3 linked regions of the Caenorhabditis elegans genome follow. Each later gene encodes a partner of the first gene's protein in a complex. Each region holds a gene or a part of one and is shown in the gene's direction. Other genes may lie near its edges.

Evidence for each region.
Region 2: ife-3 (region 1) and tost-1 share a complex: the UniProt entries of both Caenorhabditis elegans proteins name them as parts of the tost-1 variant of the PETISCO complex.
Region 3: ife-3 (region 1) and pid-1 share a complex: the UniProt entries of both Caenorhabditis elegans proteins name them as parts of the pid-1 variant of the PETISCO complex.

What each region holds. Positions count from the first base shown.
Region 1 is NC_003283.11:1,198-12,397, reverse strand, and holds ife-3 (Eukaryotic translation initiation factor 4E-3), read left to right. Parts: upstream 1-4,568; 5' UTR 4,569-4,579; coding exon 4,580-4,747; intron 4,748-4,788; coding exon 4,789-4,965; intron 4,966-5,004; coding exon 5,005-5,240; intron 5,241-5,287; coding exon 5,288-5,462; 3' UTR 5,463-5,810; downstream 5,811-11,200. Other genes in the region: B0348.10 (uncharacterized protein), read left to right, coding at 3,659-3,823; idpp-2 (Intrinsically Disordered Protein, expressed in Pharynx), read right to left, coding at 5,887-6,374, 6,432-6,860, 9,379-9,547. UniProt on the Caenorhabditis elegans protein: Recognizes and binds the 7-methylguanosine-containing mRNA cap during an early step in the initiation of protein synthesis and facilitates ribosome binding by inducing the unwinding of the mRNAs secondary structures.
Region 2 is NC_003281.10:4,873,704-4,884,469, reverse strand, and holds tost-1 (Protein tost-1), read left to right. Parts: upstream 1-6,158; 5' UTR 6,159-6,159; coding exon 6,160-6,298; intron 6,299-6,348; coding exon 6,349-6,458; intron 6,459-6,573; coding exon 6,574-6,753; 3' UTR 6,754-6,944; downstream 6,945-10,766. Other genes in the region: clec-5 (Deleted in malignant brain tumors 1 protein-like), read left to right, coding at 904-1,098, 1,280-1,421, 1,554-1,685, 1,728-2,518; C35D10.1 (ER membrane protein complex subunit 7 homolog), read right to left, coding at 3,201-3,369, 3,417-3,577, 4,163-4,396, 4,619-4,723; arx-6 (putative actin-related protein 2/3 complex subunit 4), read right to left, coding at 5,068-5,145, 5,191-5,291, 5,337-5,556, 5,697-5,807; C35D10.12 (Methyltransferase type 11 domain-containing protein), read left to right, coding at 9,719-9,796, 10,036-10,256, 10,302-10,384, 10,724-10,766. UniProt on the Caenorhabditis elegans protein: Component of the tost-1 variant of the PETISCO complex which plays an essential role in embryogenesis. Within the complex acts as an adapter which binds to the complex via erh-2.
Region 3 is NC_003280.10:7,684,824-7,695,836, reverse strand, and holds pid-1 (Protein pid-1), read left to right. Parts: upstream 1-5,280; 5' UTR 5,281-5,333; coding exon 5,334-5,387; intron 5,388-5,437; coding exon 5,438-5,548; intron 5,549-5,594; coding exon 5,595-5,707; intron 5,708-5,752; coding exon 5,753-5,819; intron 5,820-5,866; coding exon 5,867-6,031; 3' UTR 6,032-6,147; downstream 6,148-11,013. Other genes in the region: nhx-2 (Na(+)/H(+) exchanger protein 2), read left to right, coding at 1,890-2,082, 2,388-2,654, 2,906-3,039, 3,088-3,413, 3,641-3,914, 3,966-4,109, 4,284-4,373, 4,417-4,584 and 2 more; F18A1.1 (Receptor L-domain domain-containing protein), read right to left, coding at 6,148-7,181, 7,227-7,626, 7,789-8,292, 8,410-8,945, 9,205-9,633, 9,680-9,807, 10,236-10,407, 10,451-10,544. UniProt on the Caenorhabditis elegans protein: Component of the pid-1 variant of the PETISCO complex which is required for the biogenesis of a class of 21 nucleotide PIWI-interacting RNAs (piRNAs) that possess a uracil residue at the 5'-end (also called 21U-RNAs).

The sequences.
Region 1 (11,200 bases):
GTAGCGGTTTTTTCACAGTTTTCGTTGTGGGGATGTGATTAATACGCAATACACGTGCTCACTGGCTGCCTCTTTGCCTAATTTCGATGAAAGAGAACTACGCGAACGGGGGACGAGGAATACTCCTCTTCCACCGTTTTGCAGGCCATTTTGCTAATTTTTTCACGTTTTCTCGTCCGCGAGAAAATAGCAATTTTGAGACAGTCAGCGACCACGTGCGCAATTGAAGCGCAATCGTGTTTCAAAGCCAATTGAACTTGCTGCGCAAACGTTGGGTCTCGTTAGGTATTTGGTGGCAAACCCGTAAATTTAATCATTTTAGAATTTTTTTGGTTTTTTTTGTTATTTGTTCCGTTGTTTTTAATAATTGCAATGTCAATATTTTTGAAAATAATCATTTTTAAACATTATTTCGACATAAAATTCAAAAAAAATACTGAAAGCGTTTAAAACGGATCTGCTGCCAATACCTATGTAATGAGACTCAAACTAAAGGGGCGGAGCATGTGACCGTGGAGCGCGATTGCATCTCGATTTCTTAAGACGCAACTTGCAAAAATTTTTAAATTTCCGACCAATCGGTAAACCAGCAATTTGGCGACAATTAAAATTTCCGGCAATTGCCGCCCACACGTGGTGTCAGAAAGTCTCATCGCGGTTTGATCTACAAAAATGCGGAATTTTTTCCCAGAAAAATTGTGACGTCAGCACACTCTTAACCATGCGAAATCAGTTGAGATGTCTACGATTTCCTCCCGCATTTTTTGTAGATCAAAGCGAAATGGGACTTTCTGACTCCACGTAATAAAAAACACGACTGTTTTTCGTAGAATTGTTCGCGAGAACAAGTTGTGAACAATACGAAAATCTTCAGGGAACTGAGAGAGAAAGAGGCAAGTGAAACTAGAAAAAAAGTATGGTGCATCAAGAAAAGTGAGAAGCCGAAAAAGAAGAAGAAGATCCACTTCTTCTTCTATTTTCTCTTCTTTTTTTGAGTCGACGACTCACTTGTCTGTGTGTGTTGCTGCTCTGACAGGCATAATTTAATAACGTATTACACAAGAGGATCCCCCTCCCGTAGACAATGAGGCAAGGGGGGGCAAAAAAGAGTACCGAGTAGGAAGCTAATCTGTTGGAAGTTGTTGTGTGTTCCAGTGAAAATCTGATATAACTTAGTTCCTCTTATGGGCTCTTGCGCGAAAAAGTGCAATCGAGGTGCAAACGCGCTCCACGGCCAAACGACGAGTTTGTGGCCCCTTCAAACACGCGGTGTCAGGTTGTCCCATTACGGGTTGATCTACAGAAAATGCGGGAATTTTTCGCGTAAAAAAATGTGACGTCAGCATGTTCTTAATCATGCGAAATCAGTTGAGAACTCTGCGTCTCAACTCCCGCATTTTCGCAGATCTAAGTAGATCAAACCGAAATGGGGCACTGTGACACCAGGTGTTCAAAAGTGCGTGCATGGTCTCGTCACGCGCCTCAAAAATCTATGAATGGCGCGTGTCAAGACGATCGCGCGTAAATGCGCCCCTTCAAAGTCGTAGAGATGGAAAAAATGCGCTGTATATGATAATAACCTTTTTTCGCGTAAAAATAATCGAAAAACTACTGAAAATAATTGAAAACGTTCGAATTTAATGTTTTACCGCCAATTTTTTGTTGTACCCGGTTTTTTGGCCGTGGAGCACCTTGAATTTTATGAACGATTTTCGAGTTTTTGAACTCGATAAATTTTTAATTTCACTCGACTTATTTTTTTTACCAAAAAATAAGTTTAAAAATCCATAGAAAACTTAAAAATTCAGTAGAAAATCTGAGAAATATGAATTTTCCAGTCTCCGTTATAGACACTGGTCGCGGCTGAATTTGAGAAAAGCCGGAGGCACAGGAATTTGAATTTTTCATTGGTTTAGATTTAAAAAAACATAATTCGAAATCGATGTGGAAACGCGCTCCACGGAAAATTGGCAAAGCTCCGCCCCCAAACCATAGGTCTCGTTAGGCATGTGGCGGCAAAACTGTGAATTCAAATGTTTCGCCAATTTTCAAATACCGTATTTCCTCTATTAGTCTTGCACCCCTACGGACCAATCGAAAATTAGTCTTGCAGCCTCTATTAGTATTGCATGCAAGACTATTAGAGAGCATACGGTAATAGTCTTGCACCCCTATTCTTGCCAGACCAGCAGTATTTTGTGAAAACTTCAAAAATTTCGCCATTTTTTAGCCAAATTAAGTTTTAAAGTGTTCAAATAATTGATAAAACAATAGAAAAGTATGTATTTTGCACGATTTAGACAGTTTCAAGTCAAATTTTTGACGATAAATTATCAATTTTACAAAGCTATTGGATCTTCGAAAATTAGTCTTGCAGCCTCTAATAGTCTTGCAGTCTCTATTAGTCTTGCACCCCTACGGGTCAATTGAAAATTAGTCTTGCATGCAAGACTAATAGAGGGAATACGGTATTTTCGTTGTTTTTATTGAATTTTACGTCGAAAAAAGTATTAAGAACTTAAAAATTAAAAAAAAAACTAGTTTTCGTTTTTTGGAGCGTTTTCAATAGCTCGTGGAGCGCGATTTCACCAGAGATCTTTTTACAGCGTTTCCATATAACGTGGAATTCCTCATTGTTATGCGAACAATTTAAGACGCTTAAATAGGAAATGATAACATAATTATTTTGTCGAAATATATAAGAAGAGTCTGAAAAAATTGAGCTTCCGACTCTTTTTTGCCGCAAAAAAAGTTTACTTTTTTCCAGTAAACTTTTTGTGCCGCACACCTCTATTCTGCAAACAAACTATAGAATTTCAAATGCTGTGGGCTTCGCGTGTGTGAGTGGAAATGAAAATAAATAAATACATACTAAAAAGTGATAATCACATCAAAATTTAGTTCCTACCGCTGCGACACTGAGAAGTTGTCAAAATTTAAGATTTTAGCTGAAAATATACCATTTTCCGAGCGGTCATAACTTTTTTTTTTGAGAAATTTTCAGAACATCTCATTACGAAATTAGTTTTGGAACATTTTGGGTCCCAAAAAGCCAAGTCTCGAATTTCGGTGATCCTCCTTTAAGTCTGTGGAACTACTGAAAACTAGCAAAAAACGATGATTGTTAGGAGAATAATGCGGCTACGAAAATGTTGTGTGTATGTGTGTGTGGGGGCGTGGCGCTCTCCGAAGACTTTACGTGGACGACGTGGTAATTATGACGGTCAGAAGGCGGACAAGAGTGCGAGAGACGCAGAGAAGAGAAGCCCAACAGCCGTCGCCGAAAAAATAGACAAAGTATTCGTGACTATGGCTCACCGCCAACACTCTAAAACGGGAAAATCGATGTGGTGGAGAGGAGGAGGAGACGGAGGAGAGAGAGAAATACAGCGAAAGAAGTCGTCGTCGGAGGGCCCCCGACGTCGTCTGACGGCGGGGTGTCAGACGCAGTAGGTTAGACGAATGGCGCCTCGGGGCAACGCTTGCTGCGTCTCTGCGATTCGGAGAACTGTCTGGCCACCTTTTTACGGGACGATGGGCAGGGAAAACAAGGCAAAGTGAGAGAGAGAGAGAGAGATATGTGCGACGAGTTGAGGCACACAGAGAGGGAAAAGGCGCCCAGCGGCAGCAGCAGCAACACCCAGACCGATATATTTATATGTGCATGTTGTGGAGGCTGCTGCTGTATGTGTCTGTGTGTATGCTCACAAGAGCTCGAGACACCGGGACGGCTCATGAATTCCTGACGACGACGGCGACGCTGAATGCGGCAGAAGGAGAAAAGAAAACGGAGACGCACTCGTGGATAAATTGGAGAAATTGAGAACCACAGGCTGTAAACAATGCACATTTTTTGGGAAAACTCAGATTATCGACTGCAATCTGGAAAATAAATTTTTGAATTTTAAACCTGAAAATATAATTTTTTAGCCTGAATTCCCTGAAAGAGCTCAATTTCTGTGCGAATAACGAGTTTTCAGCGATTAATTTCATTATTTTACCGAATTTTCAATAAAATTTGAAAAATTTTACCTAAACAACTCGATTTTTATTTTAATACAAAAATAATTTTCATATTTTCCGCTGTTTTGTTTAAAGGGGGGCGCAATTCCGCAGACAAGATACTTCGCAACGACAAAAACTACGGTTACACTCGTTTTGCGTGTGTCTGGTGTTTGAATTTCAGGATTCGCGCCTTTCTTTCCATTTCTTCATTTTCCAAGGTTTTTCGGGGAAATCGCTCTTTTTTTTTTCACTTTTACGATTAAAAAACAGCTAGAATGTTTAAAAACTACTAGGAATTTCATGGGAAACGAATCATTTGATGATTTTTCGTCGAAGTTGAGCTGAATTCATTTTCTACTTTGTTTTATTGTTTTCCAAGCTTTAATATCAATTTATTGTGCCCGATGTTACCAATTACACTTGAAAAATCTAAAAAGCTTGGAAACTAGCCGAAAATGTGCAGTAAAACAAAATTTCCTATAAAATCCGAGTTATTTGAACCAAATTCATACTCTTCTCTATTTTATCGTTTTCCGAGCTCTAATCGTATATAATATTACCTATTTTCAGCTAAATGAGCACATCCGTAGCGGAAAACAAAGCATTGTCAGCTTCCGGCGATGTGAATGCGTCCGATGCTTCAGTTCCTCCAGAGCTTCTCACCAGACACCCCCTCCAGAATCGCTGGGCTCTCTGGTACTTGAAAGCTGACCGTAACAAGGAATGGGAGGATTGTCTGAAGGTAGAAGATTTTTAAATACGTCTTTTATCGATTTTTTCCAGATGGTTTCACTTTTCGACACTGTCGAGGACTTCTGGTCGCTGTACAATCACATTCAGTCTGCCGGAGGATTGAACTGGGGATCCGATTATTACTTGTTCAAGGAAGGAATCAAGCCAATGTGGGAGGACGTCAACAACGTTCAAGGTGGACGTTGGTTGGTTGTTGTCGATAAGCAAGTACGTTTTGAGAAATATATTTTATTCAATGAATCATAGAAGCTTCAGAGAAGAACGCAATTGCTCGATCACTACTGGTTGGAGCTGTTGATGGCTATTGTTGGAGAGCAATTCGACGAGTACGGAGACTACATCTGCGGAGCTGTCGTGAATGTTCGTCAAAAGGGTGACAAGGTTTCCTTGTGGACTCGTGATGCTACTCGCGATGATGTCAATCTTCGCATCGGACAGGTTTTGAAGCAGAAATTGAGCATTCCGGATACTGAGATTTTGAGGTAATTTTACAATTTTAGTATTTGCTATCTAAGTAAAATATTTCCAGATACGAAGTTCACAAGGACTCGTCGGCTCGCACCTCATCGACTGTCAAGCCACGCATATGTCTTCCAGCCAAGGATCCAGCACCAGTGAAGGAAAAGGGACCAGCCGCAACGACTTCTCCATCGAATCCCGGCACGGAGGCTACAGGAACTTCTCCAGCCACCCCAACTCCTTAAGCATATTCTAAAGATCTCACCAATTCCTCTCACCGTAAATGAGCTTCCCCGTACTCCCAGTCTCAATGTTGTCTTGAAAAATGAACTGTTTTTCGGACACGATCATCGCTTTAACTATTCGAAAATCAGCTCATTTTTCAAGTCGTACCCCCCACCTAATGTATTGGTGCTTCCCCTCCAATTTGTACCTACTGTTTCGCTTCCCCCTATTGATTTACCGGTTTTCGTATTGCTCTCTTGTTGTTACTAGATTCGAGACTGATCGACGCCTGTAGCCGAATTCGTTTGTTCTTCAGGTTAATTGATGAATATATATTTATTCGGTAAATATAAATAGATATGTTAGTTATTATTCTTCTTCACACACATGATTTGTAGGGCGTTTGATTTTGTACATTTTTAAAAATTGATTCTATTCTTGTTTTCAGGCAGACTTCTCCGATGTCTTTACAGTTTTTGCAGGCTTTGCCGTAGTCGATGTGTTCGAGCTAGACGAAGGAGCTGCGGCAACAGTCTTCTTGGTTGGCTTCCTAGCTTTCCGAGGTTTCCGTGTGCTCGTCGTGCTCGGCGAGCCGGTAGTGGTCTTTTTGTTTGCTTTGGCCGCATCGTCGTGTTGATAGGAATCAACATCCCGCGACATAATTCCCATCGGAGAGCCAATTCCTCGGTTCCAGTGATTCGAAGCAATGTTCATGTTGTAATCTATGGGAATTCCTCCTCCACGTGATGGGATCTGTGGTCCACTGCCGCCATAAAGCATACGCTCAAGTTGGGAATCATGGCTTCCGAATCGTTCGCGAAGATATGCGGGACCATAGCGTGACGCATAGGTGGCAAGCTCGCGAAGTGATGGGATCGCGGAATTTGTAGCTCCATTGAAACTGTTCATCAGGTCGTTAGATGCGTAATCAGCTGGAAAATAGCGGATTTTAAAGAATTTTATAGCGCATAGAAAAATCGTATACTTACGTGGATACTCAGTCTGTGGAATTTTCGTCTTCCTGGAGCTCATAGGCGGCACAACGGCACCCCGTCTCATACCAACAGTGCTCCCGTAGTACCCAGATCGACTTCCTCCGACCAGTCCGGAAAATGGAGCGGCCGGCCGGATATTGTACTCTTCTAGACCCCCAGGATATGGGGAACCTCCACCAAGATTCACTGTGCCATATGGATTCGGATTACGGTCACCGTAGAGGCCACCTATTTGTGGGGGTGGCGGGGATCCCGTGTTCCGATAGCCCATTCTGTTTGATCCATAACCGGCTTTATAGGCCATTCTACTGAAAGGAACACGAACTCCGAATGGGGCATTTATGTTTCGTCGTCGGAATGTGGTGACTTTCTTTCGATAAATTGAATCACCGGAATCAACGTCGGATTCTTCGTCTGGGGAACCTGGAAATGCACTTTTTTATTATGTTTTTGCATTTTACAGCGCCAAATGAGCTCCAATTTACATAAAATAAGGATTTTGCCCAGTTTTCAAATGAGATGCGACAGTTCGCGATTTGTTTCGCAAGATTACGATACCAGGTCTCGAGACGATCAAACAAAATAATTTATGGAAAAGAGTGTGCGCCTTTAGGGAGTACTGTAGTTTCGATTTTTCTTGTTCTTTTTTCGGTTTCACGTGTATTCAGCTCGACCCATGCCTCGAAAAGAGCTATTAGAAAAATACACGTGCTGTTTGACAAGTTTTCCAAAAATCAACTTTTTTAAAAGCAGAAATCACGGCCTCTCTTCATTTCAATAATTAAATAAAATAACGTGATGAACTGTCTCTGCGTCTCTCATGGGCGAGAGAGTGAGTTTTTTGAACCGATTTTGCACTGATTACGGAAGAACGAACTATAAACGGCGGATAGTGAAGAAAATTAAACAAAAATTGTTAGACTGATAGATCAGGCAAGTAGCGTCTGAATGAAACCAAAAACAGCGTGGAAGCGTATCAATGAACTCATCCATTCGTGAAAATCCTAAACTAGGGGTTTTTTGGTCATAATTGGCGAAATCGGGCGATTCGCTGATAAATCTTCAGATTTTCCAACAATAAACAAACAACTGAATATTACCTCATCAAATTCGACCAAAAAATCCAAATTTATAACATTAACTATGCTCTTGTAGGGCAAAATGTGAGACCTAGTCGAAAAATTGGTTTTTTACGGGATCCCTGGGGAAGAATGGAAACGAAATTTTAAAAAGTACCGCCTTACGATTGTAGAGAATTTTTTTCCGGTCATTTTTTGACATTGCACAAAAATTTTCGATAAAAACTGGCTCCGGAATTTCAAAAACAAGAATTAGGCCTGAAAACACCAAAAATGGGCCATTTTTGAATGGTTAACGCAATTTTACTAAAAAACGATGACATTTATCAAAAAACTACCGCCTTACGATTTTTACAAATTGTTCAATGAAGATATCAAGACATTAATGCCGTGATTTGGTTAAAAATTGACTGAGTAATTTCACTTTTAGGACATTGTGGTTTATAGTGGTTTTTGATTGGTTTTGTTTGGAAGCCCGTAGCTCAATAACTAAAGAAGCTATCAAAAAACTGTCAACTAAAGAAATAATCCTCATAAAACGATTAAAACTTACAGTTTAAATACATTTCAGTTTTTCTGATGGCTGCAGAGTTATGATATCACTAAGCGCCCAATCTTAAATTTCGGAGAAAAAAATCTTGCGAGGAGATTAAACTAATTTTTTTCAACCAATTATATTGGCATTTGGTAGGTAGGTGAATGACAATGGTTTTTTATAGTAAAAACAGTTTAGGCTTACTGGAGCCTGTTTTACTTGTGTTTTATGGCGCTTAGCTTTTTTGCGTTACAATATAGTTGTACTCGTTTCAGTTAGATAGTTAGATTTATCTAACGATAGAACGTATTTAGACCAAGAGATTGACAAAATTGAAGTTTTGCTTTAACAGTTCCTTGAATAAATAAAGAGTGTTTTTCCTAATGAAACTGATGAAATAATGAGTCACTCCGAAACTTCATCTCCTTGTCTGTCATTTAATTCCATATTTGAGAAAGCATCACACGTCAGAACAAGGAATCGAACATTTCTTTGCAGTTTTTAACAATATGAAAACTTTCTACGCTCCAGTTCGCAGCCTGGAGGACAGAGCTCTTCTCAAGATCGTGTATCATGAATTCTATTTCAATAAAATTTGATTTAATTAAACACAAATTATTATTCAGAAAGTAATATTTCACGTGAGAGAGTGAGAGAGCAGAGAGAAAAAGATGAATTTTGAAAAACGTGAAATTTAGAGAGGCCGTGAGAAATGGGAAAATCACGGAATTCTGGCCTCCCTCATAAATCGAAATGGCAGAGTTTGCCGAACTAGGCCATTTTGAGTCTGCGAGATTTTGTGTAGGTTTACGGCGCGTTGCGTGTCGCGTCGCGGCTCGTTTTTAGTTGTAAAACCGATGGATTTGTCCGTGTGGAGTACACTACACTTTTCCACGCGTTGTCCGGCAGGCGATTGCCAATGGAGCGCGAAAATTCAATGAGAAAGGCGAGAATCCCGTGAAAATCAATAAACAATCGTTTGCCACGTCGAGACCCGGTGTTGTATTATTGCGTCGTAAACCTTTAAATGGGGTATTATACAGACGCGAAATGTTCCGATTTTTGCGCCGAAAATACGATATAAGGTCACGACGATTTTTTGTTAAATGGGAAAAATATGTGTGCCTTTGAAAAGAACTGTAATACCAAATAAAAGCATTTTCATAGACTTTACTCTTTAAAGGTGCGCATCCATTTTGCATTTAACGAAACAATTTGCATTTCGTTGTCGATTTTTCCAATTTTTTGCAAAATTCACAAAATATCAGATTTCAGAAGAAAACCCTACTCTAAAAAATTTATAATTATTAATTTCTGATCCACTTACCTTCCTCATCTCCATCGGCCGGTATAATAGTGTCCGGAGGAACTGGATAACCACCGTTTCCAGAAATTATCGAATTTGTGAGATCTTCTGTCGGAAGATATCCGAACACACCAGTCGTTAGTGTAGACAGAATACACATTAATGGAATAGAACCCACGTCGGTACGCATCTGGAATATCAAAAAATACAACTGAATAGCTTAGAGGTTCAATGGTAGGCAGGCGCGGTTTCAGGGCCTACCGCCTGCCTAAATCCTGCCCGCATCACGCCGCCTTTCGTCTCTTTTTGCATCGAAACGTGAGTTATCAAATTTCAAATTTTCTCATTTGTATCAATTTGATGAAAATCAAATTAACTATAAGAAGTCGATGGAAATATGGGAATAATTAGGAAAATTCTGAAACGATTTTGGAAAAATCGAGAATCTTCTGGAAAACTTGAAAAATTGAAGGTTTTCCGGAAATTTTCTGAAAACTTTCTGAAAAGATTTGGCATTTATAGATAATTTGAGAAACTTTAGTAAAATCCTGTAAAACATCAGAAACTTCTATAAATTCCTTCAAACTCTGAAAAACTTCAGGAGAACTCTCAGTTAGATCTAAAAACGTTCGGTGGACTGAATATATTTATGGAATTTTTTGGAAAAATTGGTACTTTTGGAATGTTTTTTTTTGCATTTTTTGGAAAGTTTGAGAAACTTTGAAAAATCCCTTGACAAAATTGGGAACTTGCAAACTTCTAAATACTCTAATAACTCTGGAATGTGCTGGATTTTCTTGATAAACTGTCAGGTATTTTTTTAAAATTGAAATGAAAAACCTGTCTGTAATGAAAAACCTATCTGTATCAGCCATATTGAGCACATTTAAGAATATTTTTCTCTCGAAATGCTATCGCTTTTGCCAGTATAACTACCGTATTTCCTCTATTAGTCTTGCAGCCTCTATTAGTCTTGCACCCCTATTTGTCTTGCACCCCTACGGGTCAATTGAAAATTAGTCTTGCATGCAAGACTAATAGAGGAAATACGGTAAGTAGAAGTATATGACAGGAAACCCACTGAACATAACATATTTCTTGAACTAAAATATTTTTTGTCAATAAAAAATAACCTTAATTAAATTTAGAAAAGTCTGAACCAAACTACTGTAAATTTTTTGTAGTGGGACCAAAGGCCTTACTTCTAAGTTTATTTTAAAGGTGTATACCATTTTAAATGTGCAAATTTGAAACAAACCTCGGTAGGACAGTAACCAATGTATGATGACGTAGGTACAAAAGAAGAAGAAGAAGCAGAAGAAGCTACACCTATGGAACCAATATTGAGATGTCTTGTGATGAAGGATAAACAGCTAATAAGATGGGAGGAGGTCCTAATAGCGTCTTTCTGACTGAACACAAACACAATCCCGGCCACCAAAATGTTTTATCACAACACGCCCGACGACAGCTTTGACATGAAATTTCGGGGCCTCGTCAATCCTCGAGACCGTTTCACTAGAGGAGAGTTCCGTGAGCTCGTTTTTGACACACGAGTCATCAGAGAGGGGTGTTTGTGTTGCCATTCTTCTTGAAAAAAAAATTAATGGGGATACCTATTAGGGATGCGCAGCTAACTATAGGACTTGTGAAAAACTTGATGTACTTTGTACCACGTTGGATTGTTTTGACGGTTTATGAGATTAGTGACCCAAATGGTCAGACAGTGAACCCAATCTTTGGTAGATCAAATAAACTAAAAAGCAAACAAGGTTCTTTGCAAGTACACAATTACTATTCAGTTTTCAAACTTTCAAATCGAATTATCTTACGGAAAAATTGG
Region 2 (10,766 bases), on another chromosome or scaffold:
CTCCATTCTTACCTTTAAACTACGTACATATATTAAATGTCAAAATTGTAAAATTACTACTAAAGCAGTCTGAATTGAAAGAAGTGATAGCGTACTTTTAACATGCAATGTTATGTTTACCTCCTATAAAAGTTAGGTATACATAAACTCCAGTCTACCAAATATTTGGATTAAATCTCAACTTAAACTACTCATTAGGCTTTTAGCATGCTCAACACACTTCTGTAAACTAAAAGGATTTGTAACTTTTTCTAGTATTTTTCTAGTTCTCGTCGGCACCCATGATTATTACAAGAAAAGATGGTTGCACCATACACTTTTTTCTAAAATCATTTCCATTTGGAATAATCTTGTTAAAATGTGTATGTTAGTCTGCATTTTGATTGGTACTTAGAACAACAGACTGTTGATTTTTATTTTTTTAAGTCACCATTTTTATTAAGAATATCCTCTTTAGTAGCCTATTTGACAAAAACCTATAAATAAATAAATACAAAAATTCGAGCCATCTAAAAAGCTGAAAATGGAAGACCACATGTGCGCGAAGAAGAATTTTAGTGATACCCTGTAGAAGTAGATGGGAGTTTGCAGATTTATGATTACCAATTGGTCCAGACAACGATCCTTTCAGTTGACACATAATTTCCAATAATAGCAAGACGAAAATCTGAACTAAATTTCTTAACCAATGTTTGATGTATCTGATTATGTAATAATTGCTGGAACAATTTCAAAATTAAAAATGAGGCAATTTCATCAATCATTTAATTCTCTGTTTACTTTTATACTTCCGATCACATAATTTTTATCAGTTTCGTTATATCTTTCCATTATTCTCTCTTTTTCCACCCATCCGTTTCTATTTAAAAGGAATAGATAAGAAGATTATTCATTCTTTTCATGATGAGAGAGCTTCTAGTTCTTCTCTCACTTTTTGTTTTCTCTGCCTTTGGAGCACAACCGCTGGTTTGCACAAATGGATTCACATTAATTAACAATAAATGTCTACGATTGTTTTCCACGCCGCTTGGTCACACTGCTGCTGAGAGCAAATGTACGGAGTACGGAGCAACCCTGGTGACTGTAAAGAATGCAATTGTAAGTATGCAATTCACTCCCGAGCATCTTAAAAATAGTTTTCCAATGTATTTGTGTGTCTGCTCGGGGTATTCGTCTGTATTGTTCTCCTAGCAACTGTTGACCAGAGGGAAAGTAACTAATTTGCGCGTAAAACAATGTTCTGTAAATTGAATCAACTTACGTTCAAGTTACATTCCAGGATAATCGAGCTATATCAACAATTGCTGCCAGTTCAGTTTCCCTCCTATGGATAGGACTTTACTGTTTTGACAATGACGTGACCAAATGTTTGTGGGATGATTCTACTGGTTCTGCTGAAATGTACAACAGTTTTGCAAGTGGTGAGTTTGATTTTTCTGTTAGATCAAATGTTTCCATATCGCCGTCGAGTGGTTGAAGAAAACGCAAAAGATGTATACTGTTGGTGCACGGTGTACGATAAGAAACTTTCTGAAATTTTGAAATTATTTTAGGTTTTCCACTTGTTGATATCGGAAAGTGTGTTTACTACTCTACACAAGGATCGTTGGCAGGTAAATGGCTGAATGGAAACTGTGAATCGGACCCGAGAGCATTTGTCTGTGAACTGCCAGCTACTCATGCAGGTAAGTAGAAAATTGTTATTTGTATACTATAAAAGTATTCAGACAATTGTACATACAATTACAATGGACATTGTTTCACGCTTCATACGGAACGGAATACTTTTGTGCAAGCTCAGGCAATTTGTGAACAAGAATGTGGAAATCTTGCCTCAATTCATTCTTCTAACGAAAACCGATATTTAAGTTCAATTATGAGTTCAATTATGAACTTATCGAATTCCAGTGTATATATCGGTGCGTCGTGGCCGTCATCGTCTGTATTCAATTGGTTGGATGGCTCTAACTCTGATTACACTAACATTGATCAATCGTTTGGTCATGGAGGAAACTGTGCTCTTTTATCGAATTATCAACCAAGTGTAGTTCCGATGGGTTATTGGTTTAGCTTCCCATGTACTGCCGCTGTGCCTTTTATCTGTAAAAGATCAGCTGGCATCAAATGTTCTGGCACTCCACCACCAGTAACAGTAACCCCGGTTCCTTCCAATCCATCATTTTGCAATTCTACACTTCTGATTGCACCTGGTGTCATTACATCTCCAAATTATCCGAGCAACTACGACAATAATCAATTCTGCTCTTATCATCTATCAACACTCGGATCTTATCGAGTGCTTCTCCATTTTTCAGCGTTTGCCACAGAGGTAAACTTTGATCTCGTTGTGGTCTACAATGGAGAATCAGCTAGTAGTTCACAAATAGGAAGGTATAGTGGAAGTTTGGACCCGTTCAGTGTAGTTTCAACTGGAAACAACATGTTTGTGACATTTAAAACAGATGGAAGTGGTGTTGCTCAAGGTTTCAGTGCTAGATTCACATCTTTCACACTATGATTGTTCTGGATTTATTCAATAATAAAAACTTGATTTTTTCAAAGCTTCTCATAAACCTCTCAATCTCTCATCTCTCAACGCATCAACGCATCAGCATCTGATATTATAAATTGACTGACTCATTCAAAATCTACTCAAAGCACTTCCTCAATTGATATTGGTTTCTCAAAAGATCATCGCTTTCGCGAGCATTTTGAATTCCTTCCAGCGTCGCTCTCGCAATTGAAATGTCATTTTTTAACTATCAAATTCGAATGTATACAAACCTCTTTGCCCTGTTTCTTTTCATGAGTCATCAGTTTTTCTTTTATCTGTTTTCGGAATATTTAGGTTCTAATTTTTCACTTAGGGACATCAAACTACAATTTTAAAGTTGTACTGCTCTGAAAAAACTTTTCAGAAACTCTATAAACATGGATCAGTTTTGGTGAAGTTAAAAAAAGAATAAAGAAGAATGAATGATTAATATTCATTTATCTAAATAGTTATTACAATAGAGCAAATAAAAATATGAATAGATCACGAAAGGGAATTTATAAAAGTCCACCCGGATTGACAGAGGCTGACTATTTTGAAGCGGTTTTGAGAACAATACATTAAATTCAAAAACGGTAACCAATCGATACATTTCATGAATTGTGGAAGGAATTACGGCATTTCGAGTTTGTCATTTTGAGAATATTTATTTTCTTCGTTGTCCACTGCCACTTCCTCCAGTTACTGCTTTCTTTTTGGCAGGTGCGGATCCTCCAAAGAAGTTAGCCATCATTTCACCGACATCTGGCATATCAACTTTTGGCATTTGCATGTTCTCCATTTCTTTTTTGAGTTCGGGATCATTTGCTGTCATTCTGAAAATTTGGAATTTTGCAGATGAGCGATTTAAGAGGAAGCATACTTTGGAAGAATTAGCATGACAACAAGTGGCACAACGAGCATCAAAACCATCGGACTGAACAGCATATCAGTGATTCTCCATTCTTCACGTTTTCTGAAGTAACGAGCAGGACCTCGTGCTGATAAACGGAGTGGATATGGGAGAGTGTTGACATTGTTCGGCTGAAAGTTATGAAGATTGAAAGAAAGTTTCAAATAACTCAGAAGAACTGCTTAAGGGCCTCTTGAGATTTTCTGCACAGAATGTCTATATCTATATTTTCCAAGTTAGAACTTTTATAAAAGATTCGAAGCGAAACAATACGGCTTATTCCTAAAACAGTCATTTTCTCATCTTGTGTCCAAGTTTTTATAACACATTTATACAAATAAAATTTTAGAGAAATATTCGTTTTTCTGCAAATAATTTTACTTTTAATTGAAAATTTATTTTTAAAAATGCCTCAAAGTCGCAATGTGTCAAATGTCAAATGGCGATCGGCATATCGATATTTTTTAGTTAGTTTTGGAGCAGCTTCTGAAAACTTTCAAATGAAAGTAAAATTTTTATCAGAAGTTACAAATATTTCTCTATATTTATATATTAATTTGCAAAAAAAACTACGACGCAGTCATGATAAACAGAGGATTAAAAAAAAATTTTTTCATCACACGTTCGGAGGAGCTACGTCCGATTTTAACCGTTTTCTCCCGGTAGTTAATAATTTACGATCGAAATTGTTTGATTTGTTCCGAAATTCAATATACCTGAAGAATTGTCAATTTTCTAGCTCTCATCTTTCCTTTTGATGTGATATCAACGCGAATTGGCTCAAAGACAAAATCTGTATTTTCGATTTGAACAATATAGGTTCCAGTAGGCACGAAATCAACACGGAATGTACAATCTTGACGAACAAATCCCATATATTGGCCATGGTTCAAATGAATACGAGCACCTGCGGACCATTTTGCACAATTTCGAGTAGATGGAAGTGCGATCTGAAATTTTTTTTTTGAGGACTATGAAATATTTAATTTACAACGAATTTGTTGTTATTAGAATAGGAACCTAGAAGATAAAATTTTAAAAAATGTGAGAACTGGAAAAAGTATTCAGAAGCATATAAACGTTGTCTTAATTTATAATATGACTTCTCTATGAATATAGCCAAAATGATCGATATTTTTAATCCAAAAATCAAACATTTTTGGTATACGAACCTCGCCTTCGACGGAGAATAATGTCGATGTTTGCTCAGTTCTGCTCACTTCTTCTGTTGCACTGCCGAGCACTATCAGGGAGAATAAAAGTAGAATAGACTTCATTTCTGAAATTGATTTGTCAATTTCCAACTTAATAATCATTTTAAAATATTAAAGCTCGTAAATGTTTCACGAGATATTTCAGATCATACATATTGCAAAAATTGAATAAATAATTCATAAAGTCAGTGTGCGGTAAAAAAAATCGATAATCAAAAAGGCAAAATAGGACCTAAAACAGGAAATTTTTGGGAGGGGAGTCATTTTCAGAAACAAAAAGTGAAAAAATTGAGAATAAAGATGATATTTACACAAATTGATCAAAAAACCGTGTTCACATAATAGTTTAAAGTCTTCGGAATTTGAGTGAAAATGAGAAAAATGAATTGGGAATCATGGGGAGAAAATTAATTGAAACGCTTCAAAAATTCTTCAGCAGAAACACGGGCACGGGCGTTGAGAGACAGCTTCATCTCGGAAATTTCCTGGAAATTTATGGAATTTTTTAAAAATTAACTTAAAATGTTCACCTTATCAATTTCCTGCATAAAATGAAGCAAAAAGTCGACAAGTTTGTGCTTGAACATTGCTTCTGTGTGAGATGCTGTGATGAGGAACGAGATGTCATAACCTAAAATTATCGCTTTAATCTCTGAATATTAGTATTAATTCTGACCTGGCAGTGGCTTGCGACGGAGCACAAAGAAGTTATCGGCTCTTTGGCACATGAATCGAGTGAACTTGTGGCACAGAATCTTCTCGATTTCGTCGGATTGTTTGATGGCGATTGATATTCTGACAGAATTGACGGAGGGTTCGATGAGTACTCGTTCCTGTTTGTTTCGAGCAACAACAACTGGCGTCATGAGCAGTTCTTTCGATGTTTGAACTTCCACCTACAATTTTATTATAATATACAAATAGAATAATACATTTAAATAGTTTTTGAGCGAAAAACTATTGCAATTGGCGGCGGACTGATTTAAATTATTCAATCTTCACACTTTGCAAGTCATTTTACTGTTATAAATCTTACTTCTGGTTTGTTGTGTCTCTCGACCACCTGCGAACTGAATTGCTCAAGACAGAGAGCTGCCTGGAGCGTGTGACGCACGGCCTCCAGATATGGTTGGAGTGTTGCGCTCATTACCTGCAATGCGCATGCTTATTGATTTTTTTATTGACGAAACAGTTTGAGACATTATTTAGAAGTGAAAAAAGATTGCATGGAACAAAATAAAACATGAAATACCGGCGAAAATCGTAAAATTGGAGTCGATAATCCGAAAATGAATCATTATTTGCGTCGTTTTGAAAGTAATGCAAACACGCTCCGCTGCACTTTTTGTTTCGAGTAGCGCGCGAAGACAAATTTATCATCCATTCTTTTAAAAATTGTCAATTTTAAAATTAATTTTCTGATTTTCAATCATTCCACTTTCCCATTTTGCAAAATATTTTGCGTTTTCAGTAAAATTTAAAAATTTAAACCTTTCAGAATGACTACTGCCATCCAATATCAAGTTATTCCTTTAGCTGACCGTGAGCACAGCAACAAAGTGGCGTCGATTCTGGAAAACAAGTACAAAACTGCGACAAATAAACGAATCACATTGAATGAGCGCTTCGGAGTTCTCGGTAAATGTTTTCAAGCATTTTTGAATCATAATAACATAGTTGTCTTCCAGAAAAGGGGTACACTATTCAAGCCACTGAGCCAGAGACTGTCAAAAACGATTCTGATGTCTTCTTTGTCGTTCACGACCGGAACTTGAATTCGAAAAAGGAATTTGTGGAGGTAATTATTTAGACTATTCGAACTTTTAATCAAAGCACTGATATTAACACAACTCTTAATGTTTTCCTTAAAAAATGAAACTTTGAGATTTTATGAGAACCTGGTTATGTTTCAGAACTATCTCGCAAAAAATCCAATTGTCAATTCACCGGAGAAAGTTTTCGAAGAGGAGGACAAGGAGAATGCACCGACCAAGAAAGCTGTTTTGAAGCCGTCCTCTACTGATGAGAAGAAGCTCACCAGCTCGGATATCTACATTCAAGAAATCACCAGAAGCATTCTTCAATCCGTTTAATTTTTCCATAAATTGCAAAATTCATTTTCCAAAATTTATGTATTTTTCTCACAATTTTTGAGCAGCCCTTTTCTTCTTTAAGTGTTATAATTTCCCTCGTTTTCCCACACCCATGAACTTCAGTGCAAATTTTCATAATCTTATCCTACGATTTTCTGTGGTATTCCTTCGATAAGTAAATCGTTCAAAGTAAGTGCTTGTTTGATTTTCGTTTGAGCACGCAATAATTTCAAGATTGGCATAAAAAATAACTGAAATGGGAGCAGAAGTAATGGGAGAACGCTATGCTTCAATGCGGGATTTATTGCGCATTTGGTATTGAAACGAAAAGAGTAACATTTAAGTTCAAAGGACAGAGCATATGTGTGTAGGGGTCTCGCCGCGAGAAAAACATATTAAAAATAATCTTCTGTTAACGTAAGAAGACATTTAAACCAAGTATCTTTAATAAATACGATTCCCGCGGCGAGACCCTTTTGTATAAGCGCGTCTCCCTTGAAACTTGTAGAATTTTGCCAAAAATGCACAATAAGTGAATTTTCCAGTGGAATAGTGTCGGAATACAAAAGTGTTGAAAATCCTGATATGTAAACTACTACTACCGGAGCCGAAGCCGCGAGGAAGTCTACCTGAAAGTGAGAAAGAATCTAAAGATCCTCAGTCAATCCCCGAATGAATAATAACCGATCAAAAGAGCATGTGCTACGATCTGAACATCAGATAAAATTTGAAATTTCCTAGGGAAAAGACTGTTCTGAAATATGTGCATTTTAAGCATTCAACCTCTCAATTGGTAAATCGACTGAGTAGCGACTTACAACATGGTGGTGTGATACGGAGGTGCATAAAACACTTGGGAATAGGCTACGGAGAAGCCGAAATTTTTGAGCTGTATGAATTAAAATATTTAGATATGGAAGAATTAAAAAAAATATCAGAATTAGGCAGTTTTTGAGGTAGAAAATTCCATAAACAAATTTACTTTACGAATTTCTTACTGCAATGATATTTTTGAAATATGTCCATTTTTGTAAAAATATGTTGAACTCAAAATATACTTCCCAGTTATGCGCATTTTGAGACCTCCATCTATGAATTGGTAAATCGACTATAGTAAGTCTGAAATTTCTATTCTATGAATTTTTTGATTTTCAATCTTCTTTTATTTAAATCCTAATCCGATGTGACATTTCCTTCAACCCTTTCCTTTTTTTCCAGAAATTGCTCTTCCCAATTGCTTTCTTATTTCTCCTTTACGATGACTACTCGCCACAAACTCGTCATTATCTCGTCATGCTCGACGAGCAGCCCTGGCTATAACCATCAAGCTCGCAGAGCATGTTCTCATTCTTATTTTTGCAGTTCAAATCTTGACTGATCTAAAAAAAATCTTGACTGATCTGTATTTAGGCGGAAAAATGAACTGGAAAATTTTCAAATGGCAATTTCAGCCCTAAATTTGTTTGGTTGTCTAATCTAGACAGTTTTTAAATAGCATAGATCTGGTTCCAACGTTTAAGTTAATATTATATAAATTTATTCTTTCTATTGTCTGAAAAAGTAAGTTTCTTTAAAAATGATGTTGTGATAGGAAAAGCAAATTCGCTGAGTCTCATGATTAAATATGCATATTTCTCAGGAAGATAATATATCAGTATTGCTCTTTGACTCTCTGTCCTTGAATGTAATATCCATGTCTTCACATCTTCTTCTTCTTCTTTTTTTTCCATTTTCCTTTTCAATGCATGTATCAAAACGACATCGTCTCTCATGTCCAAATCAATGACGGTGTATATGTGTGTGCTCTCTGAGGGGCTCTCCGTGCTCCGGGAGAGCTCTTTTTCGTGTCTATGTGCTCCTGCTTTCTCACACCACATCCATACTCTGTGTGTGAGTTTGCTTGTCGTCAGCTCGTCTAGAAGAGGATGGAGCAAGAGAGAAAAGAGCAAAAGCCCCCCTGTCCCTGCTTTCTCTCAGCCAAGAGGGGTAACTAAGAGACGGACTCGCACGCACCCTACATCTAAATCTGCAAGGTTTATCACTTGATTTTCAAATACTAAAGATTATTTTTGTTTATCTTGTGATGCGGCATGACTTTACTCTTATTTAAAATTTCAAAAAAAAATTAAAGCTAGAACAACGTTTTCGCAGTTTTCTGAAATGTCTTCTACCAAATTGCGCAGTTTGTTCAGATGGGTCTCCACGAGAAAAAAATTATAGAAGAATTTTGATCTATCAAGTACCCCAGTTTTCCTTTTAATGGTGTCATTAACTGGCTTTTTTCAAAATAATTTTTGAATTGAAAAATATTAACATTTGCAATGTAACATAAATAGGATAAGATTTGGATTTTACCACAAAAAAAAAGTTGAAAGTAATATGATGGCCAATCTGTGCGAGACTCAGTCACAAGACCTTGGGAACAACTAATTTAAACGATGGAGAATAATCACTGTCGGGCGAGAGGAGGGCGCTCTAATGTCGCCTCAACAAAATGGAATGCCTTCATTCTATACACAAAACAATATTACTAAGAGTAGGCCCGGTCAGAAAAAATTACTAACAAAAACCAATTTTTCATAGTGAAATATTGGCTGAAACCTAATATCCAGGAAATGTTTTTCCTCTTCACAATTTACTAATTGAGTAATAATTCATGATGCACACTTCATTTTTCAATTTTCCTCATATTTCGCATCCTTTTCTATATTTTATTCTTTCATTCTCTCCTTACTTTCCACTTTCTCTCCTTGCATCGTTATTAGAAATTGACCTATTATTTCGCTTTCTCCTTCAACAAATCCTCTCTTGCAAATTTATTCATTTTCTACTTTTGTCGGGTCCAAACAAACCAGTGTCTATGCCAAACTTTTTCAGAGTTTGAGACGATTTCCTTTAATGTTTTTGTTCATCATTCGACTTTGTTTTAAAATGAAATGAAACAATTTCAGATGCAAAAAACAGTATGAGCATAAGTTCGGAAAACGTTGAACAAGAGTATGTTCACTCGATTTACTCTCGATTGGCAACATATCAACAAAAAGTAAGCTTCAATGGTAGTGCTTTTTTTTTTGGAAATTTCTATTAAAACTATGGTTCAAAAACATATTTTTTTAAAACACACATAGTTGGAACAAATTTTAAGTTTTTTTCATTGTCTGGTGATCTAGAAGAAAATCCGAGAATTTGGAGTTAATTATTTCTATAACTCGTATAGTTTCAGCTAGGAAAAATTCATAACAAAGTAGGCATTATAAAGTATCAAAGAAGAAACTCTTTCAGGAACACAAGCCCTCATCTCCACGTATTTGGCCACGTGTCCGTCAATTTGTGGATCAGCAATCTGCAGGAAGTATCATTCTAGATGTTGGATGTGGCGAAGCAAAATACACTTCTCAAAAAAGCCACGTCATCGGCTTTGATACGTGCTCCGAAGTTCTTAGTTCGAGTAAAAAAGATGATATTGACTTGTGTTTGGCGGATGCAATAAATATTCCAATTAGGTTTCTTTTTGTATTTTTTTAGAGAATACAATGTTTTATTTTCAGAGACGATAGTGTAGATGCAATTTTAAACGTGTCTGTGATTCATCACTTGGCGACGACTGCTAGGAGAAGACAAGTCTTACAAGGTAATTATGAAAATTTTTAATTTCTGGAAATTGAAACCGTTCTAGTCCTAAAACTACGAAATTTAAATATTATATTTGTATGGTCTAGAAATACCGTCTGGTCAAATCGCGAGTCTAATAGTTATGGGGTTATTCAAGTAATGTAGCAAAATGTATTTAAATACATTTGTGACGTCACAAATGTATTAAAATACATGTTTTTATGTATTTTAATACAGTTGTGACGTAATTCTTCTACACTTTTTAATTTTCCGACACTACTTGAATAACCCCATTAGTCTCGTAAACTGTCAGTCTAATTAAATCTTAAATTTCTGGCAGCACTTATATTTATTCCAGAATGTTCTCGATGCCTCCGCATCGGAGGTCAAATGCTAATATA
Region 3 (11,013 bases), on another chromosome or scaffold:
CTTATCATCACAGGCACTGACGACACTGCCAAAGTTTTACAAGCTAATTTATTAGCGCTCTTCGGCCGCAATGGCACGATTTGAATTGGTTTATTGATTCCAGAGACTAGTTTCAGTTTTTGATAAGAATGAATTATTATTCATTTTCTAGTTTATGAATATATATGTAACTAGGGAAGCCTATTTATGATTTTTCTAATTTTTTAAAATTGTTATTTTAGAGAGGTGTGAAATTAAAATGATATATATTTTCGAGTACTTTAAAAAATAAAAACGGTACATCCTATATTAAATTTTTGATTTTAGATCCTTCCAAGTTATTGACAAGTATTAACTGCACTTCTCATAAAAATTTTTCAAATAGATCTATTTAGTCTGGAATAGGAATACTTTTGGCAATTTTCTTGAGAATCATAGAAGACGAATTTCTGAACTGCTCTTTGTGAAGCCACGCCCATATATTGGCATTTTTGTATCCAATTTTTTGTAGAGTACCTGAATCATTATCACTACATCTGCTAAACAATATATGGAAGTTCTATGAGAGGTGAAAGGTAAATCATATAACAACTGTAATAACATAGAAATGATTGTAGTATATTTCCAATTAGGCTGAGTTGATCTTATTGAAGAGTTTGAATCATAGCAATTTTTTCCTCTTTTAGTATTTTTCAAAACAAATTTTCACAATGTTAGATGTAGTATTTAGCATTAAGGCATCTGTAATCTCCCAGAAATGTTTTGGGAATAAAACCCTTTGACTCTTTGGTCCTTTTTTGCTCCAAATAATATCTGATTTTAACCCGTTCTGATCTACTTTTTACCTTTCGATCGTCACATCCGCGTACACGTTTCTCTTGCTCTCAATTGCTTATCTTTATGGCCTTTTCCCCCACTTTTTGTCGACTATCATGCGGACGTGGCTTCCTTGCTCCCTCCCGGTTTTTTTGAAAACACTTGTGAATTTATTTTTTGTGGTCAAAATTACGAAACATTTGAATTCTCAATCTATTTATAGACCGGGTGTGGTATGTTATGCCATGTTTTTGTCATTGCCAAATGAACATCGATATTTTAATTTTCTGAACTTACCGTACCCCCTGCGTTACTATTTTATTTTTAATTTGTATAATTTCATTGCTATAATTTGTTGTCCTTGAAACATTGAAGATATCGAAGAAATAATGACAAAAATCAGATAGAACAATTTTTCCTACTCATCAACTCACATTTTTCTATTTTCTCTTGTGCGAAAAAAATAGTATATTGGGAATATTTATAGTATTGCAACTTTTCTCTTAGTTCGCAGAGTTGCAATACTACTAGATCCCTAATAGAGGAAATATGGTGACCAGCTTTTTGCAATTGGAAAGTTGGGAAAAAAGTATATATATTAATAGACTTACACTCTTGTAGTTCGTAGAATTTTTCAGGAAATCTGACACGCAAGACTTTTTCAAAAAGTTTTTTTTTTTAATTTGGCAATCTGCCAAAACGTTTACTGAACATTTTGAAAACATCTACCAGTACCTTTAACACAACGAAAAATTGTTCTAAGCAATATTAACTGTGATAATTGATGTTAAGACCTGAAATTTAATCACAAATTTCACCTGGAAATGACAGTAATCGGCTTCTAAATACTGTCGACACAAGTGCCATACCTAAGATTCCAATCCTATTACCATGTTTCCCAATTTCATTCTCTTTCGTATCTCTATTTCTCTTCTTTATTATCAATTACTTTTTATCAGTTCTTCGTTTGCTTTAACATCAAGAGCACATAGCGCTCTCTCGTCTCTCTCTCATGCTCTTTTTGAACTTTTACAAAAAACTATTTCCGGTTGTTTTGATTCTTGGAATTTGAAATAATTTTCAGTGATTAAATCATGTCTCTTCTCCGGAGGCCTTGGGTGCTCGTCGTTGGACTTTTATTGATTATGAGCTATGTTGGAGCAGAATGTGAAGAAGAAGAAAAAGAATATCCATCTAGATATCCAATTGCTTATTTTGAATGGGAGAATGTCAAGATTCCAATGACTATTTGTTTATGGTTGATTGGAGCATCGATTGCGAAAATTAGTACGTAGCTGCCACTTTGGGATGCTCAGGAAATTAAACTGCTAATTGAATCAGGGAATTGAAGAGTTGACACTTAAAAAGACTTGTTTCGATAATTGGCATTTTCGGTCTATCATAAATTAAATATAATCTTACAAAGAATATATGTTTTGAGATCAAAATTATTCTGAAAAATTGTAAATCTGTTTGTTTGATAATCAACTTTCCAAGTCTTTCGAAGAAAACTTGAATGTCCTGGAAGAAAAAGAATAAACAATAGTTATTACAATATTAAAAAGACAGTCTAAAAATTGTCAATTTTTCAGTTTTCAACTTGATTCCACATCTCAATGAACTTTTCCCGGATTCCGCGTTACTCATCATGATTGGTTTAATTATTGGAATCATTTTCAAATTGATCGGAGTCAATAAAAATGCATTTTTCCTGGAAAGTGAAGTATTCATGCTTTATCTACTTCCGCCACTTGTTTTTGATGCCGGATACTTTATGCCTGCAAGACAGTTTTTCGATAATTTTGGATCAATTCTTTGTTTTGCAATGATTGGAACTTCATTCAATATTGTCGCAATTGGTTAGTTTTAATATTTTCACAACTAATATATTTATGTACAAAGTAAAACAACATGACTATGAATTTTCAAACTCCAATTAAAAATAATGATAATTTTGTAGCTTGTAACTTCAAAAATAGTAACCTCAAAGGACATTAGCAATTTTAGTGATAAGATAACAATTTGAAATAGTCTAGAAAAGTTTTGAATATCTTTGAAACCGTTATGCCTAGTTAAAGATAAATTTGGAAATAAATCTAATAATTTACAGCTCTCTCCTTATGGGCCATCAGTTTGACTGGATTATTCTCAGTTGAAACTCCACTTATGCATATGCTTCTCTTCGGTTCAGTTGCTGCTGATGTAGATCCAGTTGCTGTAATTGTCATTTTCGAGGAATTGAAAGTGAGACAGTCTCCCAAATTTCTCTGATAACAAAGTCAAAGTTTACAGGTCAACGAAGTTCTTTTTATTGCCGTGTTCGGAGAATCTCTATTGAACGACGGAGTTGCTGTTGTACTTTATCGAATGTTCTTGACCTTCTCTGAAATTGGAACTGAGAATCTGATAACATCTGATTATATCAATGGAGGTGTTTCTTTCCTGGTTGTTGCATTTGGTGGAATTGGAATTGGTCTTCTTTTTGCATTTTTGACAAGTCTTGTTACAAGATTTGCTAGAGATGAAGAGGTCAAAGTGCTCAATTCTGTATTTATTCTCATTCTTCCGTACACTTGTTATCTTTGTGGAGAACTTTTCGGTCTTTCAAGTATTATGGCGTAAGTTAATTTATTTCAGAATTTCTTTTTTATATTGAAACTTTAGCCCTACTCATATTTTCATATTAAATTTTGTATTAAAAATCGGAATTTTAAAATGTAAACTTAAGGTCTAGAGATTGAAGATACTAATATGAAAAGTTTTGGCAAAAACCGTAATTCTCTTCCAGAGCTGTAAAACTGAAACAAAATATAACTAGAACTAATTTTCAATAAAATTTTTGCAGAATTGTATTTTGTGGTGCTGCCATGCGTCAGTACTGCCGTGAAAATGTGGACCCAGACACGGTAAAAGCCACAGAATCATTCATCAAAGTGCTTTCTCTTGCATCGGAAACAGTTATCTTTGTCTTTTTGGGACTCTCAACAGTATCCTCAAACCATCACTGGGACACATCTTTCATCGTTCTTACTGTAGTTTTCTGCTTGATCTACCGTACCCTTGGAGTTGTTGTTATGTGCTATTTCTTGAATAAGTATCGTCTGAATAAGTACACAAAGGTGAGAATTAATTTGTGTTATTTGATAAAAAAAAGTATATGTTTCATACAGGTAGACCAATTTATCATGGCTTATGGAGGTCTTCGTGGTGCCATTGCATACGGTCTTGTCGTTGCAATTCCAGATTTTATACCCGGAAAGAATATGTTTGTCACCAGTTGTATCATTGTCATCTACTTCACTGTATTCCTCCAGGTATCTTTTTAAACAATCTAGCTATATTTTATACCCGTGATGTTTTTAAAAAACATACCTTACTATTACTTTTCAGCATTTCATTTACATAGCCTTCTAATGTGCCTAGTTAAATTTTGAAAAAAAATCTGGATTATTTCCAATACTTCTAAAATAGATTTTTAACATTTTCAGGGAATTACACTGAAACCAATTGCCGAATTCCTACAAGTTGAGAAAAAGAATGTTCACTCAAAGAACATGATTGAGCATATTTACAGCGAAGTGAGTTTTCAGAACCAAAATTCCAGTGAAATGAAAATTATAGCTTATCGACACGACTATGGCTGGAATGGAAGACATTGCCGGTTTCAAGGGGCATCATTGGATTCGTGATTCGTGGAATGCACTCAACAATAATTATTTGAGACCAATTTTAGTTAATAAGAACAATATGAAGGAGATGGATAAGACTAAATTGGTCAGAAAGTACAAGGTATGGTAATACGCTTAATGATATTGTTATTCATAATTAATTTACAGCATTTGGTTGATGAAGATGCAAAGAAGATTGCACGTGGAGATTTAAATAGTAATATGGTATTTACAAAAGCTCTTATTGAACATACAAGAAGTCGAACAAATACAATGATGTAAGTTTCTTCAAACTTCTGAAATCAATTATTCCAAATACTTTCAGCGATGGAGTAAGTTCGACTAGTAAAATAGATTTCACCAAACACATGAAAGAGAATTTTGGAGTAACAGTCTATGATGATCATAGTACTGTACCTATGACACCAACTCATTTATTCCAAGAAACAACTGAAGTTGAATATTCGGTTCGGAGCGAAATCAACGACAATGATGGATTTGAAAACGATGGGTATGAATCGGACGAATCAGGAAGCTTCCACGAAAGAGTATAGGTTTTTTACCTTAATTTACAATTTCTTTCTGTTTTAAACTAGTCTCAAATAGGTAGACTGTGTTTTCTCAATAATGTACATTCATCGAATGAAATTTCTTTTTTTTCTGCATCTATATTCTCATATATTTTGTTAACGTTAATTAACAAGCTAAAAAAAAAGATTTTTACAAGTTTTTTAATTGCGCGCTACCGTAACAAGTTTTTTCGCTTCGAGACCCATGCCTTCAAAATGGACATGTGTCTTTAAAACTTACAGTAACGGTGTTAAAATTATTGCACACAATTTCTTCGGCTGACATTCGAATTTTCCAATTATGTCGGCTAAAAGGGAGTTTTCGCATATTACTTTGGCATCCACACCATTTAAAGTGAGTTTTATCATTTTTTCAGAATTAATAACAATAAAACTTTTTTTCAGAAAAGAATCGATCAGAATTCGTTAAAAACCGACTCGGATATTGAAAAAGACACAAATATCGCACACAAATGCGCTGAACGGTTCAACTACAATACAAATCTTCACAGAAAAGTAATAATCTATTAATGTTGATGACGAAAGCTTTTTTTAATTTTAGGTGACGTTGAGCGATCGTTTCGAGTTGGCAGCCCTTGGATACGAAATGAAAGCAAAGCCGAGAACAATCATCGAAAAACATAATGACTGCGACGAGTTTCATTTTATCTATAGGTTTGTGAAGTACCCACATATTATAACAAATGTTTTAATTTTCAGAAAAGAAAAGAAGAATGATTATGGAACTGGCTCACCACTTTCAGCCGGATTGAGCCTATCTAATCCGGTAAGAAATAAATATTAAATTCACGCATAAAATTATATCATTTTCAGTTGCCAGCTGGACGTGGATTCCTCTCTCCAGCGATTCAGAATACCAGCAACCAGTTCACCTTTTCTGGAAGTCCAAGAATTACCCCCCAGAAGCACACCCCAGTATCGGCCAATCACAAGCCAGCCAGATCCATTTTCGACGACATTCCTTCGAATATTGCATAAGTTTTCACTGTTAATTTACTGTTTTTACTGTTTCATCTTGTTTTGAGTTTATAAAAATGATGTTTCGTTGAATTCAAAAATTTTATAAATTACATTTTAAAAATAACGACATAAAGTTAAAGTTCTCGATCTTCAGTTCCACTCTCATCCGAAGACCTCCAGTTCATCGTTTCTATTTTCACTTTCACAAACATTTCCGAGTTATCAACACCAGCATTCAGTCTATAATCTTCTTCTAGATTAACTGGCTTATCGTAGATGTTAAAGCTTTTTCCTTTTCCATATGTCGTGATCGCCGTCTCTCGTAATTGTTGTTTCCTTTTAGCCCAGGCAATCCACTTCTCCTTTTCACGTTCACTCAAATGATTTTCCAGTTGAACCAGAAGCTCTTCGAATTTGTTCGTGTCCGTGATAATTTCGTTCGGCTCAATAATTTTCCTTTTCTCCATTATTTCCAAAATCATCAGAATTCGATCTTCTTCGTCACCTTCTGCATCGTCAATTATTTCTTTGATCGCTTTATGAACTGCTTCAAAATACTCCAATTCTCGTTCATCAGCTTTTCTTGCCTCAAGTGCCATGTTCTTCGTTCTTCCTTTCCATTTTGTTTCTCCTAAACCAGTCAGTACTGCAATCGGAAGACCTTCTTTTTCATATTTTCCTTGATCTTCATTCATCTCTTTTGCATTCTTTCTTGACTCTTTTCTTCTCAACCAACTTTGTCCTGAGAACTCACTATCCGATTCGTTCTTTTGAATGGATCTCGTCAATGCTCCAAGCTTCCGTCTCCAATTAATTGTTTTTCGATTTGCTCGGTATTCTTTCATTTCCTTTTTCCTTTTTTCTCCCATCACATCCCGTCCATCCAGACGATTTTTAACCAGAATTCTCCTCTTCCACGTCATCACATCAGGTTCTTCATCTGAAGATTTTTCGTCCAAATAAGCTGTTGGGTCAGTTTTGAGATGAATGTCCAATTCTTTTATTTTTCTCCATCGAGTGAAATTCAGGGATTTCAGGAAGATGATCACAACATCTATCATCACATAGCAAACAAATATCAAAATTGACGCCAATACACAGAGGCTCACAATTATTTCCACGAATGTGCATTTTTCTTCGTATTCTTCAAATAAAGTGTCCATTTCAACTGAAACGAATAACCTATTCATTTGATTTTTGAATTTAAACTTACTGTTGGCGCAGTCAGAATATATATGCTTCATCTTGAAAGCTTGTACCACTTTACGAAGTTTTTGAACTTCCCAGCATAGTTGAGGCGTTCTAATCATCCGAATCTTTCCATTAACAGCTCGCAGCGATAATGAAGTTCTTCTCAGATATGGATTGTTTTCAAATATGAGATCACCATCAATGTATTTCAGATTTTTGATTAATTCACAGAAGTCTGATCTTAAATTTTTGATGATCACATTCCCAAGAACTCGTTTCACTTTTCGAAGTCCCGATGCCATTCTCAATACACCACCAGCACTTCCATCAATTACAAGATCTCCTTCCACAACTTCACAATCGTCGAGTTGATGGGATAATTCGGGCCAAACCACCAAATTTTCCAGAATACCCAACGCATTCTGAAAGCCAAATACATATGTATAAATTTATACAATATTCTAAAACTCAATTCTTACTTTTTCCAATTCTATTGATAGCTATGTCATTTAGGTCATCGTGCTCCTGCTGAAATTATTTATTATCAGCAATTTATGAGAGACTTTCAAAAAGATTTAACTAACCATCCACTCAGATTCTGAATATCTTGGAAGTCTTTTCTTATCACCAACAACGGCTACAAATTTCAAACATTGATCGTCTTTTTTCTTCATCTTTAGTAGCTCCACATGTTCAAATTTCTGATTGTATCCATCTATTCTTACAGCTGACAACCTTCTCCTATCAGTTTCATTCCACACGGGGCCACATTCAACTTCTTCTAGACGCGGAAAACTATCCAAATTGGAAACAGTAGAAGTATCATGGATCCAAAGTTGACCATCTTGAATTTTACGAATCGAATTATATTTGCAAAGGCTCTTTTGTTCTGGTGATCCAGTAATTTCAACTGTTCCTCGGTGTAACTGACAGTTCTTCCAAATTGTCGTAGACGTTGTCCCTGGTCCACACTCACAGTTTCGAGATGTTGCCACTGTGAATCTACCCAAAACACGTCGAAGAACATTTGAAACTCTCCTTTCCTCACAGTCAAGACCACTATTGTTTCGAAAATAGAATATTGGAATCTGAATATAGAGTTGTTATATGAAAAACATACAATTTTACAGATCATGCCAACTAATTACAGCACTATTTTTGTTCACTTTTTATGTAAGACTTGGTTTTTCAATAATTAAACTTACAGTATACTTCGTGTTTGCCAAAGATGTATAATTTCTTCTGGTCTTTTGTAGATATGGGAATGGCATAAAAGTTGATATACATCCGATTACAGCAACTTCTGGATATTCAGCCGATCCATCAATATTACCAATTTCTCTGACATCAGAATATCCCAATTGAAGAAACCATTTCTCTAATCTTTCCAAGTGTTCATCCAGTGCAAAGTATCGAATTCTTGCGTAACGTACAATATCACCTTTATGAAATTTGATATCATCTCGATTCGTAACGTAATCAAAGGGCTGTCTTCCATCTAATATTAATACTTTCTCTTGTTTTGGACAATTGTCAAGTATTTGAAGAGCAACTATCCCAAATTTCTCGTACAGTTCGATTTTCTTTGAAATGTGCAGACAATCTTCTTTTTGCAAGTTCAAGACAAATGGAGCTGATCGTTTGAAATTCTCTCTGTTGTAGTGAATTTGACGAAGCTCCTCTAATAATAGAACACCACTTGGATCCGTGTTTTCAAATAAAAGGCATCCATTTTCATACACTGAAAATTGTTCACTATTAGTCTTGTGCCCTCACTGCTCATTCAACTTCAACACCTCATATCTCGCATGTCATTGTTTTTATCAAAAACCGTTTACTTTTAAAAATAAGTATTCGAAATTGTTTTAATAAAGCCAAAGACAGCCAAGATAAAAACTCTCAAAATGAGACAAAGGAGGTGCTAGAGAGAGTACTGTAGCTGTTTTGCAACATTTTGGCATTTTGTCATCTATCCCGAACTGCCTACAAAACGTACTAACCTATTTGTTCACTACAAATATCCCTGATCCAATTCAAACGGAGTGGCTTAACAACTTTCTCTCTGAGAGTTTCAATGTTTTTCCCAAATCCTTGAATTTTTATGTATGCTACAAAGACGTCTGACGTGTAGTTGAGATCACTTCGAAACTTTAAATCAAAATAATTGATATCAATATTTGAAACATCGAAATTCCAATATCTCCATCGACAATTGTGATCTATTCGAACTGCAAACGATCCCAACTTGTCAATTAGCTTCACATATTTGGGTAAAAAGTTATGATCCTCGTAAAAAGAGCATTCGTATTCTTGAGTATCAATATGAACTGCATCTCTAACCAAATCAGAATTGAATCGTAATTCTTCAATAGGAAACCATCCGTCATGATTATTGATCAGTTTAATTTTCACTTTTGGTTCTTCCTGGTCTGAAAGTTCATAATCTAGTAAACATTGATACATCAAAAAGTTTACCTGGAAAATCGAAAAAATGTCTTTTGAGATCCAACTTGGCGCCTCGAACCAATCTGTGATGCCATACGTCTTTCACATTCTCCGGACTTTTGAAATTCAATAGAGTCAGCTTTTTAAGTATCTTGCCACTGAAAAAAGTAATGTATACAATTGAGGTTACATTAAAAACTAGATTTTAGAGATCATTGAAATGGTAGGGTTTTGCCTCAAAGTGCTCTTTTCAATAATTATATTAAGAAGCTATCCGTGTATATTCTTCATGTTTTAGCAATGTTTCAAGAAACAAAACAAGCTTGCAATTTCTTGCTAATTGAATTAGAATTGGAAACTCTGAACACACAACACACGGTGTAGATCATATGAACATAAAACATCCATTAAAAATTATGTAGTGCCAGTGGGATCTTTGTTAAGATAGTATTTCAATGGTTTGGCAAATTGCCAAATTAAAAAAAAGGTTAGACTTTCTTGAGACGATATGATCGTGGTGAGACTCTTTCAGAAAATATCATGTTCCTTTAAAGTGAAGTGCCAAATCTTCACGAAATCACAATACCTTCTTGTGATAAAATTCCGAATCGACCAAATATTGTCCCAATTAACAGTGAATTCTCGATTATTCCGTCCATTCGGAAGTCTTCTAAACTCTTTCAAAGGAAGAATCGCTCTCTTCTCAAAGTTATGTGAAAACTCTTTGGTAATTTGTCGCTTCCTTCGTAACTCAAATTCTGAAGTTAAACTATAGAAAAATTAAATTAAATGAAAACTAACCATTTTCCGTTTGAAAAGTTTCCATATTTTCGTTTGGTCGATAAAAGGCAACGCATAGAAAGACGATACCGAGCAACAAAATTATCCATTTCATATTTATGCGTATTTTGTATTGATTAAATAATATCAATAAGTAGAAATGAGGAAAATTTCGTGGATTTCTCTATGAACCAAAACAAATATATATTTCTAAAAAAAAGTGAGATTAAGAAGTCACGTCGAAAGATTTTTCTTGGAAACTATGATCAATTAGTATCATTTTTATTGTAGGGGAAAACATTTTAAGCCGCTCTTCTAGTGCCAAAATTTCCAAATATCGTTGTAAAGCATAAAATGTTTATCATAATTTTGGAAGTCGACCAAATATTGTTTTTTCTACAAGTTTTATACTTTATTGCGTGGGCTTAGAACTTACCAAAATGTTCGCAATTTCTGAATGAAACCAGATTTTTGGAACATTTTGCAATTTACCAAAACTTTAACTGGAAATTGTTTGAATATTATGAGTGCATGTAGACTTAATCCCAACTGGCTATATTCCATCTTTAATATTCCCAGCACGA